2 linked regions of the Kluyveromyces lactis genome follow. The protein of the gene in region 1 interacts with the protein of each later gene in a pairwise test. Links are inferred from orthologs where the notes say so. Each region holds a gene or a part of one and is shown on either strand. Other genes may lie near its edges.

Evidence for each region.
Region 2: the proteins of SSL2 (region 1) and INO1 interact in a protein complementation assay, tested with the Saccharomyces cerevisiae proteins (2 studies listed by BioGRID). The link is inferred for Kluyveromyces lactis from reciprocal best matches to the Saccharomyces cerevisiae genes SSL2 and INO1.

What each region holds. Positions count from the first base shown.
Region 1 is NC_006041.1:1,154,021-1,158,095, reverse strand, and holds SSL2 (TFIIH/NER complex ATPase/helicase subunit SSL2), read left to right. Parts: upstream 1-1,275; coding exon 1,276-3,852; downstream 3,853-4,075. Other genes in the region: SRP40 (Srp40p), read right to left, coding at 1-750. UniProt on the Saccharomyces cerevisiae protein: ATP-dependent DNA translocase. Component of the general transcription and DNA repair factor IIH (TFIIH) core complex. When complexed to CDK-activating kinase (CAK), involved in RNA transcription by RNA polymerase II.
Region 2 is NC_006040.1:1,381,563-1,385,049, reverse strand, and holds INO1 (inositol-3-phosphate synthase INO1), read left to right. Parts: upstream 1-1,397; coding exon 1,398-2,987; downstream 2,988-3,487. Other genes in the region: low-affinity Zn(2+) transporter ZRT2, read left to right, coding at 1-224; snoRNA-binding rRNA-processing protein DIP2, read right to left, coding at 3,356-3,487. UniProt on the Saccharomyces cerevisiae protein: Key enzyme in myo-inositol biosynthesis pathway that catalyzes the conversion of glucose 6-phosphate to 1-myo-inositol 1-phosphate in a NAD-dependent manner. Rate-limiting enzyme in the synthesis of all inositol-containing compounds.

The DNA of each region.
Region 1 (4,075 bases):
GGTTTCTACTGCAGTTTCGCTATCGCTGCTATCGGAGTCGCTAGATGAGGAGGACGAATCTGAGGACGAATCTGAGTCTGAGTCTGAGTCTGAGTCTGAGTCTGAGTCTGAGTCTGAACTAGAGTCCGAACTAGAGTCCGAGCTGGAGCTAGAGCTAGAGTCTGAATCTGAATCTGAACTAGAGCTAGAGCTAGAGTTTGAATCGGAGTCTGAGTCAGAGCTTGAATCGGAGCTAGAGTCTGAATCGGAGCTAGAATCAGAACTAGATTCCGAGTCCGAGTTTGACGATTTCGACACCTTTACTTCCACTGCTACTGGCTCAGATTTTTCATCTTTTATCTTAATTTTGATGTCTTTTTCGTCCTCATCATCGGATTCTGAGCTGGCACTGGAGCTAGAGTCTGAGTCGGAATCAGAGTCTGAGCTGGAACTAGAGTCTGAGCTGGAACTAGAATCTGAGTCTGAACTGGAGTCTGAGTCTGAACTGGAACTGGAACTGGAACTGGAACTGGAACTGGAGCTACTATCAGAGTTCGATTCTGAATCTGAGCTAGAGCTTGAACTAGAGTCTGAGCCAGAATCCGAATCCGAATCTGAACCTGAACCTGAACCTGAACCTGAACCTGAACTCGAGCTGTCGCTGGAATTGGAACTAGACTCTGAACCACTTGACGATGATTTTACCTTTTTGTCATCTTTCTTCGTCAATTTTGGCACTGAAGACTTGGAACTTTGCTTCTTAACACTCATCTGTAAAAATTAGACTATTTCCTCACCCAAACCACTGGTGATCCTATCGTAATCGCTCTTGGATAAGATCTGAACCTACCTCATCGCAAGCTCATCTCGTTTGGATAACGCTATTAATCTCGAATTTTTTTTCAATACGTTTCTTTTGCCGTACTATGTGACGATGTCCTGAGGTGTGGTGTATGGGTTGTTTCAGTCTTACAACTACTAAAACTGTAAAAACAACTAGCAAAACCGGCCTTTTCGTCTATTCGGCAACCTCGTTGTTGTATTGTTAATCGTGGAACTACCTAGTGGTTGCAATGGTTATTAGTTGGTCATCCAACTCTAACTTATATTGGGTTTTTGGCTCATTCTGGTTATATTGTTTGTCCGGGTAATCATTTTTGCCTCAACATTATTAATCTGAAAGATGATTTTAAGAGAACTTTAACTTTAATTAGATGTTTAAGAATCAAAGTCCAAGGACGGACAAGGGAATTAAGGTCTATCCCCGGAGTCTATCTGTACACTAATTGTGTCATTATGGAAGATGAGGTAGTGAAGCGTTCATATCACACAAGAAGTAGAGGTGGAAAGGAGAAATTAGTGCAGGACACGGTTTTTTCAGATGACTCTTTGGTTACAGACGATGAAGAATACGGGGATATTGCCCCAGATATCGACGATGATGTCTTAGATGAAGAAGAGGAAGCTGAGTTAAAGGAATCTCTAATGCAGGCGAACGCTCCTGCTCCTCAAGTGAATCCTCTTTTGAGTCGGAAATCGAAGAAAAGTTCTTCTTCTTCTAGATCTGCTGCTGCTGCAACTGCTGGTAGTGGAATGAACCATAATCTAGCAGCAAAGGATGATATCCTTCATGCACATTTGGACGATATTCCCCCTGATTTTGAGCCTGACGTTGTTTCAGGAATGTTCAAGACTAACGATTTCAGCTACTTAAAATTGAAGCCGGATCATGCCTCGCGGCCTTTATGGATATCGCCTAACGATGGACGTGTGATCTTAGAATCATTCTCTCCATTGGCAGAACAAGCACAGGATTTTCTTGTGACGATCGCAGAACCCGTTTCTAGACCATCTCATATTCATGAGTACAGAATTACGGCTTACTCTTTGTATGCTGCGGTTTCGGTTGGTTTGGAAACTGAAGATATCATAGCAGTATTGGACAGATTGTCCAAGGTTCCTGTTGCACCTTCGATTATCAACTTCATTAAGAGTGCAACTGTATCATACGGTAAGGTGAAATTGGTCATTAAGCATAATAGATATTTCGTGGAAACTTCTCAAGCTGATATCTTGCAAATGTTGTTAAACGATCAAATCATTGGTAATCTAAGAATCGATACCGATGCTGCAGTGGATGCTGCGGTTAAGAAAACCATGGCGAATAAGATGGTAGATGCAGAGGGAGTGGATCCTAACGATGTGGAAGCTGTCTTTTCAGCTGTCGTGGGGGCCAATAAGGAACTTGAAGAAGAAGACGATGATATAGATGCGGTTCATGCTTTCGAAATTGACAATGCATCTGTCGAAATTGTGAAGAAAAGATGTCAAGAACTTGACTATCCGGTGTTGGAAGAATATGATTTCAGGAACGATCGAAGAAATCCAGATTTAGATATCGATTTGAAACCATCAACTCAAATCAGACCATATCAGGAAAAATCCTTGAGCAAAATGTTCGGTAACGGTCGTGCAAGAAGTGGTATTATTGTGTTACCATGCGGTGCTGGTAAGACTTTGGTCGGTATCACAGCGGCATGTACTATCAAAAAGTCTGTGATCGTGCTTTGTACTTCGTCAGTGTCAGTCATGCAATGGAGACAACAATTCCTTCAGTGGTGTACGCTCCAGCCTGAAAATGTTGCCGTCTTCACATCAGATAACAAAGAAATGTTCCAAACTGAATCTGGTCTGGTGGTCTCGACTTATTCCATGGTTGCTAACACTAGAAATAGATCGTACGATTCTCAAAAGGTTATGGATTTCTTAACGGGTAGAGAATGGGGTTTCATTATTTTGGATGAAGTACATGTCGTACCTGCAGCCATGTTTAGACGTGTTGTGTCCACTATTGCCGCACATGCAAAATTAGGTTTAACTGCAACTTTGGTGCGTGAAGATGACAAGATTAGTGATTTGAATTTCTTGATTGGTCCAAAACTTTACGAAGCTAATTGGATGGAACTTTCACAGAAAGGTCACATTGCTAATGTGCAGTGTGCGGAAGTTTGGTGTCCAATGACTGCAGAGTTTTACCAAGAATATCTAAGAGAGAATGCGAGAAAAAGAATGCTACTATATATTATGAATCCAACCAAGTTCCAGGCGTGTCAATTTTTGATTCAATATCATGAAAAGAGAGGTGATAAAATTATCGTCTTTTCAGATAACGTCTACGCTCTTCAAGAATATGCTTTGAAGCTAGGTAAGCCTTTCATTTACGGTTCCACGCCACAACAAGAGCGTATGAATATTTTGCAGAATTTTCAATATAATGACCAAATCAATACCATTTTCTTATCAAAGGTTGGAGATACTTCGATTGATTTGCCAGAGGCGACTTGTTTGATCCAAATTTCGTCTCATTACGGGTCTAGACGTCAAGAAGCACAAAGATTGGGTAGAATTTTAAGAGCTAAGAGACGTAACGATGAAGGGTTCAACGCCTTCTTCTATTCTCTAGTTTCTAAAGATACTCAAGAAATGTACTACTCCACAAAGAGACAGGCATTTTTAGTTGATCAAGGTTATGCTTTCAAGGTTATCACCCATCTACATGGTATGGAAAACTTGCCTAATCTAGCATATTCTTCTGCTAGAGAACGTAGAGAACTTTTGCAAGAAGTTCTTCTCAAAAACGAAGAAGCTGCAGGCATTGAAGCAGGTGAGGATAACGATAGCTACATTTGGAAGAATGGTGGGAACAAGAGACCAAGGAACAAATCTAAGGCTGTTAAGAGCGAAGGATCTTTGGCTGGTTTGGCTGGTGGTGAGGATATGGCATACCTAGAATACAGTTCCAATAAGAATAAAGACTTAAGAGATCATCATCCATTGATCCGTAAAATGTACTATAGAAGTGCAAATAAATGAACAATATTGGGTTTTATAATTTATCATCCGTATTAAACTGGCATACTTTAAACAGCAAATGAATCATCTTTCCAAAAATCGCATCACGAATCAGTTTTATAAAATCCTAATACTTAAATATACCACATATAATCACTATAAAAAGATGTTTTCGTCCGCTGTCTAAAATAAACAAAGAAATGATTGCTTTTGCACAGTGAATTTCAACAGTATTGATATTGTA
Region 2 (3,487 bases), on another chromosome or scaffold:
ACTCTTACGCTCCAGGTTCCAGAACTGCTTTGATTGCTAACGGTTGTTTCGATGCTATCTCTGCTGGTATCTTGATCTACACTGGTTTGGTTGAACTAATGGCCCATGAATTTTTATATTCTGACAACTTCAAGGGTGAGAACGGCTTGAAGAAGATGTTGTGGGCCTTCTTCACTATGTGTTGGGGTGCTGGTTTGATGGCCTTGCTAGGTAAATGGGCTTAAACTAACTTAATCGCAGCATCTGTCATAATATGTATCCATCAAGGATAGGAACAATCAAACTAGTCAAAAATCAACAAATATATTGTATTAATTTATTATCATGTATAGTATCATGATACTCAAACCCCCTTTTATCGTTTCTTACCACACTACTACTACTACTATCATTATAAACTTGTTTAGAAGGTGTTTTTAATCTCTAATATTTTCTAGTCTTATTTTACTTCTCATATCTTTCCTTCAACCCATACTCTTAGCAGATGGGGGTCTTACCTCAATTAGGAAGGATGAGGTCTCTGGGGAGATGTCAATATCACATATACAGGTATCTGAAAGTACATTATGTCAGGGTTCTGAGGTCCATTGATCTCTAAGACATAGAATGAACCAAATTAAGATAGACGACTATTTGGGGTCACGTGAATGTTTACTTTCCATTCACGTGACTCGAAAACCTACCTGTTTCACAAGCGATCTGGCCGTGTTTGCTTCCGCAGAATCGTTATATTTTTTTGCGTCACTGGTTTAGTATGGAGAGTAACTGATGAAACAGTTTTTATTATTCTTATTCCATACCCGATATCAATATCGAATGTCATAGAAGTGAATAGGTAATCGTTTATCCCTCTTTTGACTTCTTAAACCCGGTCAATTGGGTCTCTTTTACCTTTTCACATGGGAAATGAAAGCCCTGGCCCAGCAAGTTATAGAGAATAGGATCGTTTCATGCCATTATTTCGTGGCAGAAACCCCACATAACTCGTGGCAGTTCAGCGGAAATGCGTATCAAAATATGAAATTTTGTGGTTTGTGGCTGTTTTTCTAGGCTTCGCTAATTTCGGCGAACTTGCCGACCAATGACATAGTGAAACAGGTTTTTGTTTTTTAGTATGGGTTTCTTTAGAAATATACGTAGTGTCAGCTAGATAGGACGAAAATTTCGGCGAAAATTTCGGCGAACCTGCAAGACGGGTATATAAAGGGGCTATTTGAACTTATATCTTGTCTTCCTTCTCCAGTTACCACTTTGCTGAATCTCAACTCGGTTCTGCTATCTTCTCTCATATTTGTCCTTTTTTTTATTCTTTCATAGCCTATCTCATCAAGCAATTGCAAAGGATCTTCTCCCCTAGACCCCGCAATTAATTAACTAATCATTAAAAACAATTGAACATGACTGCACCAACCGTTTTCAAACCAACCGTCAAGGTTGCTACTGATGTTGCTGAGTTTAGTGAAACTGAATTGACAACTAAGTATACTTATCGTAATGCTATTGTTGAAAAAAGTGCAGATGGTGTTTTCAACGTTGAACCGGTGACTCAAGATTATGAATTCAAGGTTGATTTAAAGTTGCCAAAAGTTGGTGTCATGTTAGTTGGTCTTGGTGGTAACAACGGTACCACATTCTTGGCTTCAATCTTGGCTAATAAGCACAAGGTTAAGTTCCAAACCAAGGAAGGTTTGAAGGAAGCTAATTACTATGGTTCTGTGACACAATCTTCTACTTTGAAACTTGGTGTTGACGCTGAGGGAAATGACGTTTATGCTCCGTTCAATAGTTTAGTTCCAATGGTATCTCCAAATGACTTCTATGTTTCTGGTTGGGATATTAATGGTGCTGACCTTGGAACAGCAATGGCAAGAGCTGAAGTTCTTGGTGTCGATTTGCAAAATAAATTGCGTCAAGAAATGTCCGCTCACAAACCTTTACCTTCTATCTACTATCCAGATTTTATCGCTGCTAACCAAGATGAACGTGCAGACAACTGTTTCAATAGGGATGGTAAGGCTGGACCTGTGTCTGTAAAGGACAAATGGAGTCACGTTGAACACATCCGTAACGACATTCGTCAATTCAAGGAAAATAATGGTTTGGACAAAGTCTTGGTGTTATGGACAGCTAACACTGAACGTTATGCTGACATCGTGACTGGTGTTAACGATACTGCTGAAAACTTGATCAATGCTATCAGGAGTGATCATGCAGAAATTGCTCCATCCACTGTCTTTGCTGTCGCATCTATCTTGGAAAACGTTCCATACATCAATGGTTCCCCACAGAACACTTTCGTCCCAGGTGTCATTGATTTAGCTGAAAAGGAAGGCGCTTTCATCGCTGGTGATGATTTCAAGAGTGGTCAAACCAAGATGAAGTCTGTCTTGGCCCAATTCTTGGTTGATGCTGGTATCAGACCAGTTTCTATCGCTTCCTACAACCATTTGGGTAACAACGATGGTTACAATTTGAGTTCTCCACAACAATTCAAATCTAAAGAAATCTCCAAGGCGAGTGTGGTCGATGATATCATTGAATCCAACCAAATTCTCTACAATGACAAACTGGGTAACAAGATCGACCACTGTATCGTTATCAAATATATGCCAGCGGTCGGTGACTCTAAGGTTGCCATGGATGAATATTACAGTGAATTGATGCTTGGTGGTCATAACAGAATCTCCATCCACAACGTCTGTGAGGATTCTTTGTTGGCTACTCCATTGATCATTGACTTGTTAGTCATGGCTGAATTCTGTTCCAGAATCAAGTACAAGAAGATTAATGACCTTTCAGGAGGTTACCACAGTTTCTACCCTGTCTTGACTATGTTGAGTTACTGGTTGAAGGCACCATTGACTAGACCAGGTTTCAAGGCTATTAATGGCTTGAATAAACAACGTGCTGCTTTGGAAAACTTCTTGAGATTGTTAATCGGTTTGCCAGCATTGGACGAGTTGAGATTCGAAGAAAGATTGGTTTAAAAGAATGCTAATGCTGCATGCTATTTAAAGATAGAATAGAAAGAAAAGAAGTAGTTTTTACATATATGAACCCCAACCAGATACGTATCTAGTCAACGAATAAATATATTCCTTTCCACGATATTTCCATGATATTTCTTATAACCCTATTCTGGATTACATGCTAGTCATTCCTTAAAGTGTCAGTTTTTTTTAACTTCACAAACTAAATGTTAACATCTGTGCTCAAATGAAAAACAATAACAAAAGACCAAAAACTGTAGATGAAAATCGATGTCGATGAATTATCTATAACTTGATATTTACATACCTTGAGACAGGTTATATATTTAATAAGATGCATACGGTTTTAATTTATGGACGTAAATCTAGCGAACAGTTTCGAAAACTCTCTTCTTTGCAACCTTTTTCTCATGCTCTAACTGCGAATAGTCATCAGTGAACTCCAAGTTATGTCTTAAGTTCCATTGCTGTTTGATGAAGTTAAGACCGGCGATGTT